4 linked regions of the Saccharomyces cerevisiae S288C genome follow. Changing the gene in region 2 together with the main gene of any one other region gives a genetic interaction. Each region holds a gene or a part of one and is shown on either strand. Other genes may lie near its edges. The genes, in order: IST3, MUD2, MUD1 and CBC2.

Region 1 (4,258 bases), on a different chromosome or scaffold from region 2:
CAGAATGTATATAATGCAAAGCAAGAATCCGATGATGAAGATGAAGATGATGAAGAAAAGCGTTTACAAGAGGAGCTAAAACGATTGAAACTTAAAAAAAAGGCTGATAAAGAAAAAAGACTTGCAGCTTTACGTAAGCAAATTGAGGATGCTCAAAATGAAAGTGACGAAGAGGAGACAAACGGAAAAGACAACTTTGGCGGCCATGTGAACGTTCCTCAGGCCGCTCCAGTGGCACCATCTGCAGCTTTTTCGCAAAATTCTACTAATGCTCCTCGCTCGGTACACGCTGCTGTTACCCCTGCCGCAGGTAAGAACAGTACTGGTCTGCCTTCCACGACAATGGGCCATAATCCATACTTCAAGGATGCATCAGCTAGCTCTACATCTACTTTCGATGCTCGCGCTGCAGAAATGCAAAGAAGAATCCAAAGAGGATTGGATGAGGACGAGGATGATGGATGGTCTGATGAAGACGAGAGTAATAACCGCGTAGCTGTAGATAATAAGGTTGAAGAAGCAAAGATTGGTCATCCTGATCATGCACGTGCTCCACCTGTTACTGCTGCTCCCTTGCCGTCTGTTACCCCTGTTCCACCTGCTGTCCCTGTCCCTCAGGCGAATACCTCTAATGAAAAGAGTAGTCCTATTCCAATAGCTCCGATACCACCTTCTGTTACTCAGGAGCCACCCGTCCCGTTGGCTCCCCCTTTGCCTGCTGTTGATGGCTTTCAAGAACCTCCAATTCCCTCAGCACCTGCAATAGCTACTGCCGTGCAAAAATCGGGTTCTTCCACCCCAGCTTTAGCTGGAGGCGTTTTGCCTCCACCCCCACCTTTACCAACTCAACAAGCTTCCACTTCAGAACCTATTATCGCTCACGTTGATAACTACAATGGTGCTGAAAAAGGCACGGGCGCATATGGATCCGATTCTGATGATGACGTTTTATCGATTCCTGAATCAGTTGGTACAGATGAAGAGGAAGAAGGGGCACAACCAGTTTCTACTGCAGGTATCCCATCAATTCCACCTGCAGGTATTCCTCCACCCCCACCCCTTCCATGAAGATTTAATTTGCTTTCTATAGATACGTATGTATACTAATTTCTGAAAGGATGTAGAATTACAAATATGATATTGATTATTTTTTTCTAGGCTATATGAATATAAGATATGCGATGAAAGAAAAAATTATTTAATTTGGTTGGTCCTTTTTAGCCAAAATGAGTTTCTCAGCATTGTTCTTCGAAACTATATCTCGATCCAATTCTTCCTTTACAGCTTCATAGTATTTTTGTAAACTCCTTTTTGGCCTATAAAAAGTATGATCAATTTTGAGGGCTCTACCGCCAATTTTAAATCCATTTAAATTATCGACTGCTAGAATCGTTGACCGTTGATCCTCATATTTCAAATATGCAAAACCTTGCGATTCTCCTGTGTTTTCATCCCTGCTAAGAATTACATCTACAGGGACTCCATATTCAGAAAAGACTGTCAATATGTCACCTTCTGTTAATTCTCGGTTGAGATTTCCGATATATATATAAGCATTATCCTTATATTCATTATGCCATGATTGATGCGGGCTAAGAATTCCACTTTGTAGTTCTTTATCGTTGATTTGCTGAATTTTGTTCATTGTTATTTTGTTTATATTATCTATGTTCTTGATCTAGAATTGCACGCTGCACTTTTTGAGTTGTATGAGTAATTAATGTTCGGCCTATTTTTTTTTATCTGTATTAATCTCAAAAAATTCCTAAACCCAGAAAGGTAAAAGAGCTTATCATTTAAGTGTGGCATAATTCTCCAGCCATAACCACTTCCTTATCACATAAATTATCATTGTCACTGAGTTCAATCACTTCTTTATTGTTCTATTGTCTTTCTTTCAAGAATAGAATTATCAGTATTAGTGTGATCTTATATACATTATATTATATTGAATACAGATAATAAAAAAAAGTGAATTTTTGAATTTTTAATATACAAGAGATGATTGCTAACTTCATGTATGTCTCTTCTTTTTTGTAGCTTCTGCTACAAGTTCTTCAAAGATCTGTGCCTCTTCTTGTTCGACTTTGGTTCTGAAAGTTTTCTTAAAGACTTCACCCAATAGTTTCATTGCTTCAGCTCTTCTGATAAGCGTTTTCTTACTTACCGAGTCATCTTCTAGTACTTTTTTACAAACGCCACGTAAAGTGGATGTTATTTCATATTTAGAACCATGCCAAGCAGCCGACAATACTTTGCCCATCAATAGCTGCTCTTGCTGCGCCAGTTCCTCAGTGGTTGGCTTAATTTGCTCATTTCCGTCTTTGTCAAACAAAGGCTCATTATTCGTGCTAGCTTCTTTCATTTTTTCAAGCTCCTTCATAGTATTCTGAGCGTCTATGGCTGCCGAAACAGTTCTTAGTGTATCCATAAATACTCCCCCTTTAGCCTTCATAGAATGAAATATACCACCCATTCCGAACAGGTTCTGGGATGCAAGAAAAATTTCAGCTTTTTCGTAGTAAACGTCGCCTATTGTGTGTAATATGTCCAGACCAAATGATTCCATCTTTAAAAGATTGGCTTCCTCTTCGAACTTTTTTTTAAAGGAATCTTTACATGCATCATCATAGACACTTTCTGTTAATATCGATAATCTTTCAATCAATGTTTTGCTTAATTGGTCTACTCTTTTTTGCTTTTCTACCTCTTGTTCTTCCTCAAACTGCTCTAATTTTGTCTTCTTCTTCTTAGCTTCTGCTCCTACCTGCTCATTTTTCTTGTTTCCATCGTGTACAGTTAAATTACCAGAAGTTGTCCTCGCCTTATTTTTGTCATCTTTTTCGTTAGTATTGCCCAATGCTGCATCAACAGCGTTAGTGGTGCCATTCGTCTTACCGTCTGCAGGTGATTCTTCCATTGTTTCCACATTCTCCTTCTCCTTTTCAGCTTCGTCTTCAGCATTTAGCTCCTCAGTTTTCTGTAGGTTCTTTAATAGCATCAGTTCGCCAATATATGAGGCAAACGCATCTCCACCAAAGATGACAGAGAACTGTTCAGCTGCATCTTCAAAGCCGCCCTGAGGAATAGCTTCTTTTCTTCCATACTTATCATACTTTGCGCGAAGATCATCGTCACCTAAAACTTGATAAGCTTCGGATATTGCTTGAAACCTTTCGGTAGCCGTGGGGTCATTGGGATTCTTATCAGGATGCTCTTGAATAGATTTCTTTCTATAGGCCTTTTTTATTTCAATGGAAGATGCAGTGGTAGACACACCTAACAAATCGTAATACTCAGTATCAACAACCATATCTTTTGTATAATGCCCCTTCTGGCCGCAAGAAACACTTAATGATTTAGCATAACTCTGTTATTCCTCTTGTAAATCTGCCAATTTGTTCAGTACGCTCTGCTTCAAAATAGCACAAAATTCAGGGTGTGCGGGTAAAAAAAAAAAAAGTCGAAGAAATATATATATATATATATAGAATAAAATCTAGTTTTTATGCCATTATTATTAATAACACCTCTAGTTTGCTCGTCATTCACATATTTCTCTCTTGATACATACTATAGAGTTTATTCATACATATTATTTATAAGATTCTAAAGGGAGTGAAAAGACGCTTCTTCTGAATGTAAGGCAGAATCAACGTCTTCGTAGCCACCTGAGAGTTCTCTTTCCATATCAACCTCCATTTGGTCCTCCATCTGCTGTTCCTGTATTTCTGTCGTATCGTTTTGATCTCTGTTGGCGATGGCCTCCGATGGGGACAGAGATTCCTCACTTATGGCTTTTCTATTACCTACGGCGTTCGTCTGTGGCAACTGAGAAAGAGGATCCGACTCAGCATTAGCAGGTAACTTTTCCTTTTCGTCCAGCTCAAAAGGACAAAGAGCAGCCTCCATCTTATTTGGAGATTGTTCTCGTTGTTCCTCGGGAATGCTCTTTGACTTTTCATCCAAGGCCCTTTCTGCTTGCTCACCAGGAGTAGTATCTATTAAGACTTTTTCCTTAGAGAAGGAAGAGGAAACATTCCAATTGTTAAATATTTCTATTTTATTAGTGTTGTCATCTTCTTCAATCTTCTCTACGCTAGCTACTTTAGAAGGTAATTTACGCCCACGAGGTCCTCTACCTCTTCTAGTTCCGCCCAGAGGTCCCGTTTTTGCCTGTGATTGGTCCTGGGGTCCTAGCTTAGATTCAGTATCCGGGGAGGACAACTTCTTCTCCAAGGAAGGTGGAAGCTGTCCA
Region 2 (5,252 bases):
GTCGAAAGTAATGTTATACGCAACTCCTGACGAGCACTTATCAGAGGAATATGAATTCTTTATAGCTCCTGAATTAACTGTGATAGTTTCGAACAATTTACCATTCTCAAATAAGTCAATGGTAAAATTATTAGGAATCGAATCAGTCGTGTTTGTCAAAATAGATGTTTTGTTTGGATAAGCACTTCCGCGCGTGAACACATCATACAGTTCAGATTCGTTTGATAATTTGAATGAATAAGTATTTACAGAACGGTCAACAACATTTAACGGCTTGGTCTTAAACGAATTAGATAACTTGATCCCTCTCATAACAACACCATTCACAGCTGATTCATCAGCATTGACATTTCTCAACACTTTTTCTTCGGATACGAGTTTGATTAATTGATCCTGCACAATGGGAATTCGGGAAGAGCCTCCCGCCAAAATGACCCCATTTATCTCAGGTAAATTTGTTCCATAGCCACCGAATTGTTTTGTAACAGCGTCATTTATGGGTTTGACAATGTCCAATAACGAGTCTGCAATAAATTCTTCGAATTCCTGTCTAGTTATAGAAGTACGGAAATCAATATCGTTGATCAGTGATTCTATGTTAATACTTGCCTCAGAATTGGCGCTTAAAATTAACTTTGCCTTCTCTGCTGCTTGGTTGATTTTTGCTAAGGCCTTGGGATTAGCGTGCAATTCATCAGTTCTTATGGCTGGGTGTGTTTCCAAAAACTTATTCTCTATCAAACTGCCAATATCCATTGTAAACTTTGCACCACCTAGATGTGGATTATACCCATATCCTTCAAATTCTATTGTAACGGGCTGAGTAGTGTCCTCCGGCTGCAATATAGAGAACATTGAGGCCTTAATAGAACCGCTCCCCATGTCATATACGATATAATGCTGCTGTTCACCTGGTGGAAATTGGCGCTGCTTTAATACAAAGTTAACTGCAACAGACATCCCTTCACTAACCAGATATGTCTCTTCGATTCCTGTGGTTATTGAACTGGCATCTAAAAGTGCTTTCCTTTGATGTTGGTCAAAAAAGTCAGGAATTGTAAAACTCATCTTGTTTACAAAGTCCTCAGTTCTTGCATCTCTATCCTTCAACAGTGAATTGGCTCTATTGGCAATCTCTTGGACATTCATTGCCACTAACTCTTCCAATGGATATTCCACATTATCAACTAAAAAGGCTATGGTACTTCTATTTGTTGATACCATTTCTAAACCGGGGTGTTGTTTTGAATACAAAGTTACAGTGGTTTCATCTTCTAGTGATTTCCCAAGTAGCGGTTTCAAATGCAACAATGTGTTTTGGGGAAACCTTGTTGCTAAACTGCCAACAGCGGAACCGTAGATTCTTTCAATCCCATTCGGATCATCCTTTCCATAACCTGGTAATCTTTTTATCGAAAGACCAGATATCTCCTTCCGTTTTGCCTCTGGTGTGAGCACAAGTTCTAATGGGGCTTGCGGAGAAACCACAATGGCCTTGATATTTTGCTGACCGTAATCAACACCTAAAACGGCTGCTAAAGACCCTATAGCAACAAAAGCTGTTAAAAATAAAAGCCTTAAAACGTTTCGCATGGTAATATGCGTACTTATTTGCACTAATAATGCCAGAATACTGCAGGAGCGATACTGTTAATATTACGCTGTAGAATGGATCACTTTTATAACAGCGTGTTCGATATTATATATTTGAGGCGCGCGCCTAATTAGCAAGTGCTGAAAAAATTCGAGATGAGAAATTAAACTGTACATGCTAATATAAAAGAAGTAGAAAAGGAAAGTTAATTGACACAGAAAACAAGCACACGGAGATGGCTGATGAAAAGAGACTGGAGGATTTGAGATCCAAAATAATGGAGTCTATAGGAAAATCAGAAAAGGATGTTGTGCCGATTGAGAACAAAAGATTCAACACGGATAATGCAGTTATAGATACACATTTTAAGAGGCAAAAAAGTGACGGTGAGCTTCCGAAAGCGCCAAAAAGTAGAAACGTTTCACATTCTAATAACAGAGGACCATCGTCAATAATTACTATGAGCACGAATCGAACGACTTATGAACAAACAAGGGCAGGTCCTCATCGTCAAAGTTATCGGGATGCATCGGGAAGATCATATAACAGGGAGAATCGGTATAGTAGTCACAATACTGGGCCCCAATGGAACAACAATCCCTATAATAGGCAACGGGATGAAAGAAGAGGAAGAAATGAAAGGTTCGATAGAAGGGGAAGAAATGGAAACGGAAACTACGATCGTTTCAATTACCAAAGGAAGAACGAAGGTTCTAAATTCAATGGCGACCGTGATAAAAGGCAGTTGCAAACTAATAAATATGACATGAACTATAATTCCCAAAATGTAATGTACCCGGGTTCATCATTCGATTCTCCGGCTTACTACAACATGGCCTCATCCAAGGCAAATTCAAGGCTTGTAATTTCGGGCTTGTCTCAAAGCAGCGACCCCAGCATTGTAGCAAGATTGAAAGATTTGCTGGAAAATTTTATTTCAGGTCTCCAGAAAACTGAGAGTAATGCGGAGGACTTTAAAATTTCCAACTTTTATATTGGTGAAGGAAGGCCGGACCATATTATTGTTGAGTTTAGTTCTCAGATCTGTAGCACTATGGTTTTGGCCTGTCGATCATTCTTTAATGCGAAGCTTGGTACTTTCGACTTAAAATGGAGAAGACCTAATGATTATGTTCAACAACTTGATCATCTGGTCGATTTTTGCAGGGGTACGGTAATTGCATTGGAAAATTTGGAAAATATAGGCGAGGGTGAAGATTATAGAATGAAAGAGCTTTTTTCGTCATTGAATGTAACAAACGGTACCGCTAAGCCACTTTTTTACAAATGTTCGTCCAATACAAACAACACTGGCAAAGAATCCGAATTCACTAAATGTATTCTATTATCGTTTGAAGTCGTCACTCAGGATATTCTTGATAAATTAAAACCATACAAATGGTTCAAGCCAAATGATGGAAAGATATCACAAGTTACTTCATGGATTACGTTTCAAAGCCTGCCAAATCTGGTTACCCAATCTGTTCGTGTTGAATCGAGAGTTTTGTTGCTCTTAAATTGTCTTGATCCATTGGATTTGAAAGATGAAACCTTTATCACAGAAATTAAAGAAACATTAAAGTATAGTATCGCGGGAGCAGATACGATTAAAATATGCCAACCCGGCGTCGATTACAGACTTAATTTTGAAAACTTGGCTTCCGGAGCCGGTAATATTTATATCAAGTTCAAGACCTTGGAGGCAGCAAAACACGCAATGGAAGAATTGCCGGGTACGCAATTCAACGATCGCACTGTTCTGTGTACTTATATAGATGAGGACGACTTTGACATGATGGAAGCAACCCAACTTTCCTAAATGGTCTATTTTGTAGAGCGAAATTAAGTAAAGAATTGAGTATTCATTATGTAGATCTAATCTTTAACGCAGTGAAAAAAGTCCTCGTTTTTGGTGACTTTTTTTGTACAATTACTTTTTTGAAATATAACGAAAGTTAGCAGATTGACTACTAACTTGCGATCTGGAAAATTAAGAGAATTCAAACTTTTTTTGTTGCATGGGTCAATAATCATCATTAGAGCTTGCCTTGATCAATTTCCTTCACATTTTTGGAATAACTAACATTATAAATCAAGCCTAGTATAGCGCGCCAAAGAAGATGGCTAAAGATTTATTGCCCAAGCAAGCGGCCAACGAGCCATCGTTAAAGGACTGTACCTGTAAAAGATGTCTTAAATTGGGTGCTTCAAAAGAAAAAAAGATTAGAAGAAAGAAGAAAGGTGAGGAGAAAAGAGAAAGACATTATGGAAATAGACGAAAGTTAACATTCAACTTTTTGAAGCATACGAACATGGAAAATACAAATTACGACGTAATCACTTCGGTTGGATATCTGAATGAAAAATACGGATTGAAAAAATCACATTACATTGAAAAATTTATCAAATGCATCCATAGAAAAATAAATATCGATGTTAGCAAAATTACGGACGCCTATGTAAACTCGCTAAACCCGTGGGTTAAAGTAAAACTCTTCCTTTTATTGGTGACATTGTCTGAAAAGGGTGGTCCGGAATACTGGCTAGATAAGACAGATGGTGAAAAGAACTCAGAGGCGTCTTCAACAGATAATAGTTTGGAAAATTCTACTAAAGGAGCAGATAGCGCTGGATCTACTGCTTTGAGAGATGAAATGGTCAAAAGCCATAAAAACCTTTTCCCAACTCTTACAGAGCAAATCATACAGCATAACATCAACCAAGATTTTACGGAATCGACTTACGACGAGGATTATGTATTTTCGTCAATTTGGGCAAACTTCATGGAAGGACTGATCAATCACTATTTGGAAAAAGTCATTGTACCTTACTCGGAAATGAAAGTCTGTCAGCAATTATACAAGCCTATGATGAAAATTATCTCCCTCTATAACGAATACAATGAGCTTATGGTCAAAAGCGAAAAGAACGGATTCTTGCCTTCTCTACAAGACTCCGAAAATGTCCAAGGTGATAAAGGCGAAAAAGAGAGCAAGGATGATGCCGTTAGCCAAGAAAGACTGGAAAGAGCGCAAAAGCTGTTATGGCAAGCTCGAGAAGATATTCCAAAAACAATTAGCAAAGAATTAACGTTGTTATCAGAAATGTATTCTACATTATCTGCTGATGAGCAAGATTACGAATTAGATGAATTTGTTTGTTGCGCAGAGGAGTACATTGAATTGGAATACCTACCTGCCCTTGTAGATGTCTTGTTTGCTAATTGTGGCACGAACAACTTCTGGAAAATTATGTTGGTGTTGGAACCCTTTTTCTACTACATTGAAGACGTCGGCGGAGATGATGATGAAGATGAAGATAATGTGGACAATAGCGAGGGCGACGAAGAAAGCTTACTTAGCAGGAATGTGGAAGGAGATGATAATGTGGTTGAGCGTCATTTTAAGCCTGATCCAAGGGTCATTACACTGGAAAAAATATGTGAAGTTGCTGCAAGACAGAAATGGATATAAGGAGAAATCAAAGGAAAAGAAGCAAGATCCAGCGTTTTCTTTTGAACCCTGGAGGATGCTGATGCATTCTCTATTTATTTGGTATCAAATTGTCGTACAGATGATTTATATATGTTAATATTGTTCAGTTTACACTAATTTTAATTTACCGTATTTACTATCCAAAGGAGAAAAAAAGAAGTATA
Region 3 (4,364 bases), on a different chromosome or scaffold from region 2:
CACTAATACGATTATTTTGGAAGTTTATAAAAGAAGTGCGGAAATCACATCTGCTGTTTATTTAGCCATTCCTCACACTAATAGTTAAAGTACTTTCATAGCAGCTCTGCGCATGGTCGGACATGCGAAAAATTCTGATATCAAGAAAAAGCGAAATATTTCCGGCCTTGTAGGGGCCAAAACATTAACGTATATCAAGATTTCCTGTGGTAGCAACATTATAAGAAAAAAAGGTAGCCTTCATTGAAACATTCTCTCTATCAGCTTACCAAGTTAAACTCCGTATTCCACAAGCAAGTGCCAAAATGTCTTCTTCCCAGGTCGTCAGGGATTCTGCCAAAAAATTAGTTAATTTACTGGAAAAATATCCAAAGGATCGTATACACCACTTGGTCTCATTCAGGGATGTACAAATAGCAAGATTTAGACGTGTAGCGGGTCTGCCAAATGTAGATGACAAAGGAAAATCTATAAAAGAGAAAAAACCCTCATTAGATGAAATAAAAAGTATAATTAACAGAACTTCCGGTCCATTAGGACTGAATAAGGAGATGTTAACCAAAATTCAAAATAAAATGGTAGATGAGAAATTCACGGAAGAAAGCATCAACGAGCAAATTCGTGCCTTGAGCACTATAATGAATAATAAATTCAGAAACTATTACGATATTGGCGATAAGCTCTATAAACCTGCAGGAAATCCCCAATATTATCAACGGTTAATAAATGCCGTTGACGGTAAGAAAAAGGAAAGCTTATTTACTGCAATGAGAACTGTATTATTTGGTAAATAAAGAGCACATTATTTTCTAAGCTTGTAAATACATATTTATTCATAATGGAGAACGTTATTCAAATTTATCTGTGAATTTCTTTACTCGAGGTATACTTCCGCAAAGGAAATTCTACTTAGCAAATCCTATGGTAACGTCATTGTTTTGTAGCTTGTAAGTGGAGCCTAACTGATTCTTGATTTTCGTAGCATCAGCAACGGTCTCGTATTCCACGAAAGCTAGGTTACGAACGCTAACTAATCTGATTTCAACTAAAGCCTCATTGCCAAGTATTTGCGACAATAATTGCTCGGTAGTGCCGCTTGGCAAATTTTGTATAAGAAGGACTTTGTTCGGTGGATTTTCCATTGTATTGGACACTTTAGCCCGCTTAAGAGGTTTCTGCGATTGTTTTAGATTTTCTTGCTGAGACTTCATGTTTTCCAATCTACGGGTTTCAAATTCTTTTACAATCCTATCAATCTCAGCCTCCTCTACCTTTCTTGATCTCAGCTTATGCTTCAGGCGTCTTATTTGCCTTTTAAGCCTGAACTTTTTGGCGCATATATCATCACTACGTAACTTGCGTTTAAGTTTCCTTGCTTTAAGCACCTTCTTTATATCAAGGTTGTACGTTTCGTCATTACCTTTTTTTTTTTGCATTTCTATTGAAAGACCCAATAACGAATTTGTTCGAGCCTTTCCCATTCTCACTTTACGACCTTGAACTTTTAATGCTGTTGTCGTGTATTTTTCTAGAAACCGGTCTGCTTCTTCTTGAGTGACAAACGTTAAAAATGCTTGGTTAGTCATCTTTGATGATCTTGAAATAGAAACTTCAAGAAGGCCCATTTGATCATCTAGTAACATCAGCGGTTGTGATGATATTTGTAATTTATTGTGGGGAAGGGGTAGCGACGGATTAATGGCATACTTGTTGTTGGGATTAATGTGTTTCAGAAGTAATCTGGTATAATTTTCTTTATTTGCTGGCCTACTGGGTAAATTTTGAAAGTACAGTCTGTTTTTATTGGTCATAGAGTATAGAATAATGAAAACGTTAGTAGAAAGAAGATTTAAGGAAACGTAAATTACAAGGTATATACATACGCTGACATGGTTTCTTTAGGTTTGATGAGGCCGTCTTTTGTTGATAGCAGCTTTTTCCATTTTTTTTTTTTTTGTTTCGAGTAACGTATGGTTTAGTATCTGTCTTCTCCTTCTCTTACAAAAAAACCCTTTGTAAAATAGTGCCGAGTTGGAGGACATCAATCTGATGGGCAAGAAAACACCAACCCCCCCTATATGAAAAGAAAATGATAAGCAGATAGATAAAAATACTTAATTAACTAATACATAAAAATAAGAGGTATATAAAAATATTATATGGAAGCAATAATTATTACTCTTATTTCTTAGCAGCCTTTTGAGCAGCCTTGGTAACCTTAGCGGCCTTTTCAGTCTTGTCAACAGACTTGATAACACCGACAGCGACAGTTTGTCTCATGTCTCTGACAGCGAATCTACCTAATGGTGGGTATTCACTGAAAGCTTCAACACACATTGGCTTAGATGGAACGAACTTGACCAAAGCAGCGTCACCGGACTTCAAGAACTTTGGATGGTCTTCCAACTTCTTACCAGATCTTCTGTCGTTCTTTTCCAACAATTCGTCGAATCTACAAGCAATGTGAGCAGTGTGACAATCCAAAACTGGAGAGTAACCAGCAGAGATTTGACCTGGATGGTTCAAAACAATGACGGTAGCGTTGAAAGAAGCGCAACCCTTTGGTGGATCGTTCTTAGCGTCACCACAGACGTTACCTCTTCTGATTTCCTTAACGGAAACGTTCTTGACGTTGAAACCAACGTTGTCACCTGGAACACCTTGTTCCAATTGTTCGTGATGCATTTCAACGGACTTGACTTCAGTGGTAACACCAGCTGGGGCGAAAGTAACAACCATACCTGGCTTGATGACACCGGTTTCAACTCTACCGACTGGCACAGTACCAATACCACCGATCTTGTAAACATCTTGCAATGGCAATCTCAATGGCTTGTCAGTTGGTCTAGATGGTTGTTCAATGGCGTCAATGGCTTCCAACAAAGTCTTACCCTTGACGACACCGGCCTTGGTTTCCTTTTCCCAACCCTTGTACCATGGAGCGTTGGTGGTAGCTTCAATCATGTTGTCACCGTTCCAACCAGAGATTGGGACGAATGGAACAGTCTTTGGGTTGTAACCAACCTTCTTGATAAAGTTGGAGGTTTCCTTGACAATTTCTTGGAATCTGGATTCGTCCCATTTGACGGAGTCCATCTTGTTGACAGCAACAATCAATTGTCTAACACCCAAGGTGAAAGCCAACAAAGCGTGTTCTCTGGTTTGACCATCCTTAGAGATACCGGCTTCGAATTCACCGACACCACCAGCAATAATCAAGATAGCACAGTCAGCTTGAGAAGTACCAGTAATCATGTTCTTGATGAAATCTCTGTGACCTGGAGCATCAATAACGGTAACTTGGTACTTTGGAGTTTCGAACTTCCACAAAGCAATATCGATAGTGATACCTCTTTCTCTTTCAGCCTTTAACTTGTCCAAAACCCAAGCGTACTTGAAAGAACCCTTACCTAATTCAGCGGCTTCCTTTTCGAACTTTTCGATGGTTCTCTTGTCAATACCACCACACTTGTAAATCAAATGACCGGTAGTGGTAGACTTACCAGAATCGACATGACCGATAACGACAACGTTAATGTGAGACTTCTCTTTACCCATGTTTAGTTAATTATAGTTCGTTGACCGTATATTCTAAAAACAAGTACTCCTTAAAAAAAAACCTTGAAGGGAATAAACAAGTAGAATAGATAGAGAGAAAAATAGAAAATGCAAGAGAATTTATATATTAGAAAGAGAGAAAGAAAAATGGAAAAAAAAAAATAGGAAAAGCCAGAAATAGCACTAGAAGGAGCGACACCAGAAAAGAAGGTGATGGAACCAATTTAGCTATATATAGTTAACTACCGGCTCGATCATCTCTGCCTCCAGCATAGTCGAAGAAGAATTTTTTTTTTCTTGAGGCTTCTGTCAGCAACTCGTATTTTTTCTTTCTTTTTTGGTGAGCCTAAAAAGTTCCCACGTTCTCTTGTACGACGCCGTCACAAACAACCTTATGGGTAATTTGTCGCGGTCTGGGTGTATAAATGTGTGGGTGCAACATGAATGTACGGAGGTAGTTTGCTGATTGGCGGTCTATAGATACCTTGGTTATGGCGCCCTCACAGCCGGCAGGGGAAGCGCCTACGCTTGACATCTACTATATGTAAGTATACGGCCCCATATATATATATATATATATACATTAAACATTATTGGTAAATACACCAGCAACCGCATGATTGATGTTATGGTGGAATATAGGTAGCTAAAAAAACTCTACATAACAAAGTAATTGTTTACATTGATCTTGACCTATCAAATTTCTTTCACATTTTGGGTTTATAGGTCAATATATTGATATATATGTGTAGCTATTTTCGCTTGCTTTCAAGTCACTTCTTAATGGTGGCTCGCTGTCTCTCCTT
Region 4 (4,228 bases), on a different chromosome or scaffold from region 2:
TGTACATCAAGCTGTAGTTTGTTTTTTTCTTTTGGTAATTAATTTTTGTCCTTTTGTTTTCTTACAGCGTGTATATATTAATGATTAATTTTCTATGACTGATTTCGTCGCGCCCGGCGTTTTCTTGTCTCTTAATGCCTCCTGTTTCTGTTAATTGGTAAGATTATGTTAAATTGGTCAAGATATATACTAATACAATTTTTTAGTTGATCTTCCCACCCTTGTTTTCAAGCGATACCACGCCTATCCAGTGCTACTGATCGCTACTTGCCGAGCCCCTACTTTTATGCTAACAACCTTCGAGAATAGTTACATTCGAAGATGAATTATAACTGCGAAATACAAAACAGGAACAGTAAGAATGTTGACAATCAAGTCAGTCTACCCCCTATCCAAGTTCTATTTAACTCCATAGAAAAACGGAGTATGCCCGAGTTGGCATTTTCGAACATAGAATACTCGCATGGGAACCTTCGGTCTAGTACCGAGGAACAAAACTATCCTGCGCCTGTGTTACTTCCACAGCATCATTCGATTGCGTATCCCGCAATTAATTCTGGCGGTACTAGTACTACTGCTACTCCTACTGCTTCTACAGTTGAAACGTCCAAGACGAGTAGCAGTGCTATGGATACACAATCTCAATATGGCAGTTCAAAGAAGTCAAAATCGGCGTCCGATGATGCAAAGCCCTGCTACAAATCCGCCCCAATATATGAAATAATCAATAAGGAAAAGGATGCGGGGGCACAATACAACAGGCCATTTTCGGATTTTGTAGAATCTAAATCAAGGAGGAAGCAAAATTCGGGCAGGAGGTCTAACCTGCCAAAGGAAACAGTGCAGATACTGAATACTTGGTTGCTGAACCACCTGAATAACCCCTACCCAACTCAACAAGAAAAGAGGGAGTTGTTAATCAAAACTGGGCTAACCAAGATTCAACTTTCTAATTGGTTCATAAATGTGAGAAGACGCAAAATATTTAGTGATTACTATACCCTGGTAAACTCAATTCCTAATGACAACGCGAATAATACCCCAGTGGAACGAGTTCAAAACGTCTCAGCATATCATAACACATTATCTGCCACAAATAATACTATGTACGATGCTACGTCAACCTGCTCCACGGATTATGAATTATCCAAGAGATTTGCTCATGCCCCCGTTACACGCCGTAAAAAACTAATTGATAGGCTGGAAGAATTGAAAAAGCTATCCAACCCTGATATGAATTGATCACTTATCAATGCATTACTTAAATATTCATATAATTATATCTATTACCATTTACATTTTATCGTTACTATATATAGTATTATCATGTCATTGAACGTGTTACGTCTATTATGTTACACTGATTTTTTTTTTTTTTTTTTACATAACAGCATCATGCAAGCCTTTAAAAATAATGTAGGTATGTATATATACAATAATATATATATATATATATATATCTGTGTGTAGAATCTTTCTCAGATATAAATTGATTGATTCTACTGAGGTACGTAGTTATCATCTTCTCTTTCTTCATCGAAACCTGGTCTGAAAGTACCCATTGCATCAGGAGGAGGGATATAATTATTCGTATTAGATTGTGAGCTACTGTTATCAAATCTGGAATGTGGTACGCCGACACGCTCTGCAAATGGAATGGCGAAGCCACCTCTGGATGCATCAAAATCGAACCTCAATTCATCGCTGACTTGACCACCGCTCTTACCACGACCAAACTGTCTTCCATCTTCAAAACCAGGATCTAGATCAATGGTAATTGTCTTTTCGTCTAACTTTGTATCGGACAAATATTTTAAGGCATTCAATGCTTCATCTGGACAACTATATATAATAAAACAGAAGCCACATGGCGTGAACTTAAAACGGTCCAAACCCATAATTATTCTTTTTATTGTGCCACATTTACTGAATAATTCGTAAATTTGTTCTTCTGATGTATAAAAGGAAAGATTTCCTACATAAATTGTGGATGACTTCATCGACTCACGCAGTTCTTGTAGCCCGTTAGGGTTTCTTCTAGCCTTGCGCAGCAGGTACCTTGATGGTGTATCTAGGCGTTTAGTTGAATGATCATATTTAACTTCGTCAAATTCTTCCAGGGACATCTTTCCCTTTATTTATTGGTATATTAATGGATGCAACTTTTATTCGATATTAGTCCTTTCGGGACTTTAAAAGCTGTCGAGACACTTTCTCCATATAAACTCATGTTCTATATTCATACATATAATATTTTTCTTGAAAAAAACACAAAAACTGTTAAAGCGGGTAATACTTTGATAAGCACTTATTAACGTTTATACCATACACTACTTCATACACCAATTACAAATCTATTAGTGGTATACTTTTACTGTAGACAATGTGGATTTTGATGTAATTGTTGGGATTCCATTGTGATTAAGGCTATAATATTAGGTATATAGATATACTAGAAGTTCTCCTCAAGGATTTAGGAATCCATGAAAGGGAATCTGCAATTCTACACAATTCTATAAATATTATTATCATCATTTTATATGTTAATATTCATTGATCCTATTACATTATCAATCCTTGCGTTTCAGCTTCCACTAATTTAGATGACTATTTCTCATCATTTGTGTCATCTTCTAACACCGTATATGATAATATACTAGTAACGTAAATACTAGTTAGTAGATGATAGTTGATTTTTATTCCAACATTTACTGGTACAATAGGTGTATGATATTTTCCCAAAGTTTAAATTTATATAATATAAGTGGCTTGTGCATTAATGCTCTTGAACGAAACTGGATAACGAAAACTGCAAATACTTGTAGTTTTAAACAGACACTTTCTGGGATAGGTCTATCAGCGAAGCTTGGGAATGTTTCGCCAAATTACCTGTATCCTTTCATGAGCGTGAGCAGGTTTAGGTCATGGTCACATCTTATTATATAAATTCTTTCAGAAGATTGTCAATTGTCCATCTATCGCCATAGATTATCTGAGAGCGAAGTTCCATTATGTCTACTAGTAGAAAATAATTTGAAGTTGAAATATAATAGCATTACAAAATTTTTTCTTTATATAGTCCGGTCTTGAAGAAGGATAACAATATTAAGTGTATGAAGACACAAGAACTTTTTCTTGGAAATTTGGATTTTTATGGGAGGAAACCTACAGCGGCAATGTATAATTATGATTAGTTCATCCTTTGCTGCCATCTGTTCGCAATTATTCATGCAATTGTATGATTATTGTCAGGCATTTCAACTTCCGGTAGATTCGTTTGTAATAATAGGTGAATTTTGTGTTGACATTATCAAACCGTTAAGATAGTGTTAGTTGCCAATTAGCATTTGCCTCGATAGAATGTGACGTTAGTTGTGGTACTAGGAATAAAAGTTGATGGCCAAACATTTTTCCTGCACATTTCCTTCAGCGTTTTCAGAAAAGAGAATTTGAGTAAAAATATTTTTGATGTTTAGGTTACCAATATCTCATTAATATAAATTTGAAAACAATGAATTTTGGGTTATACTTGGAGTGCATTTTATTGTGGTTAAAGGCTACAATATTAGCTAAACAGAATGTACAAGTAGTTTTCCTGGAGAATAAAAGAATTCTAAAAGAGAATCGATAATTCTATACAATAATATAGTTATCTCTTCTTTCGTTTATGTACTGTCGTTCTTGTTTTATTACGTTATTAATCCTTGCAGTGCACTTTTCATGATGACTGGTGACTGTTTCTCAATTTTTACATCATTTTTTTTTGAAAACATGATGATATACTAATAATTTGGATACTAGCAATAAATGCTTCTTGATCCTCTATTCCAACAAAAAAGTAACAAGAGCTTACTGATCTTCGGTTTTTATTTTACCTTATCCCAAATATCAAATTGAAATATACCGATTGTTTTAATCCGTTTTGTTGTATATTATCGTAATAATATGCAGATAATATACATATATACGTATTACGCCGATTAGGCTGACACTTTAACAAAATTTTCTGTCCAATTATTGTCCGATATAGTGTAACGGCTATCACATCACGCTTTCACCGTGGAGACCGGGGTTCGACTCCCCGTATCGGAGTTTTCTTTTTGCTTCCTTCCGCCCTTCCAAGTTGTTGCATAATCTTATCTGTCAAAATATGAACGCTTGAAAACTATAGATTATAATTATCATTTATTTAGCCATAATGGAGGGAAGAATAATATGATTGCATATC

The links.
Region 1: mutations in MUD2 (region 2) and IST3 together harm fitness more than expected from each alone (negative genetic interaction), as found in Saccharomyces cerevisiae (5 studies listed by BioGRID).
Region 3: mutations in MUD2 (region 2) and MUD1 together harm fitness more than expected from each alone (negative genetic interaction), as found in Saccharomyces cerevisiae (5 studies listed by BioGRID, with this or other methods).
Region 4: mutations in MUD2 (region 2) and CBC2 together harm fitness more than expected from each alone (negative genetic interaction), as found in Saccharomyces cerevisiae (5 studies listed by BioGRID, with this or other methods).

The regions. Positions count from the first base shown.
Region 1 is NC_001141.2:362,276-366,533, reverse strand, and holds IST3 (U2 snRNP complex subunit IST3), read right to left. Parts: upstream 1,646-4,258; coding exon 1,199-1,645; downstream 1-1,198. Other genes in the region: actin cytoskeleton-regulatory complex protein PAN1, read left to right, coding at 1-1,068; DJP1 (Djp1p), read right to left, coding at 2,015-3,313; AIM21 (Aim21p), read right to left, coding at 3,610-4,258. UniProt on the Saccharomyces cerevisiae protein: Required for pre-mRNA splicing and spliceosome assembly. As part of the pre-mRNA retention and splicing (RES) complex, required for nuclear pre-mRNA retention and efficient splicing. Required for MER1-activated splicing.
Region 2 is NC_001143.9:292,771-298,022, reverse strand, and holds MUD2 (Mud2p), read left to right. Parts: upstream 1-1,829; coding exon 1,830-3,413; downstream 3,414-5,252. Other genes in the region: Hsp70 family chaperone LHS1, read right to left, coding at 1-1,593; AAN1 (Aan1p), read left to right, coding at 3,715-5,067. UniProt on the Saccharomyces cerevisiae protein: Splicing factor that contacts pre-mRNA directly and is a component of the pre-mRNA-U1 snRNP complex (commitment complex 2) that forms during early spliceosome assembly in yeast extracts.
Region 3 is NC_001134.8:476,865-481,228, reverse strand, and holds MUD1 (Mud1p), read right to left. Parts: upstream 1,892-4,364; coding exon 1,884-1,891; intron 1,795-1,883; coding exon 906-1,794; downstream 1-905. Other genes in the region: CBP6 (Cbp6p), read left to right, coding at 306-794; TEF2 (translation elongation factor EF-1 alpha), read right to left, coding at 2,182-3,558. UniProt on the Saccharomyces cerevisiae protein: Involved in nuclear mRNA splicing. The principal role of the U1A is to help fold or maintain U1 RNA in an active configuration. It is the first snRNP to interact with pre-mRNA.
Region 4 is NC_001148.4:210,056-214,283, reverse strand, and holds CBC2 (nuclear cap-binding protein subunit CBC2), read right to left. Parts: upstream 2,127-4,228; coding exon 1,500-2,126; downstream 1-1,499. Other genes in the region: CUP9 (Cup9p), read left to right, coding at 322-1,242.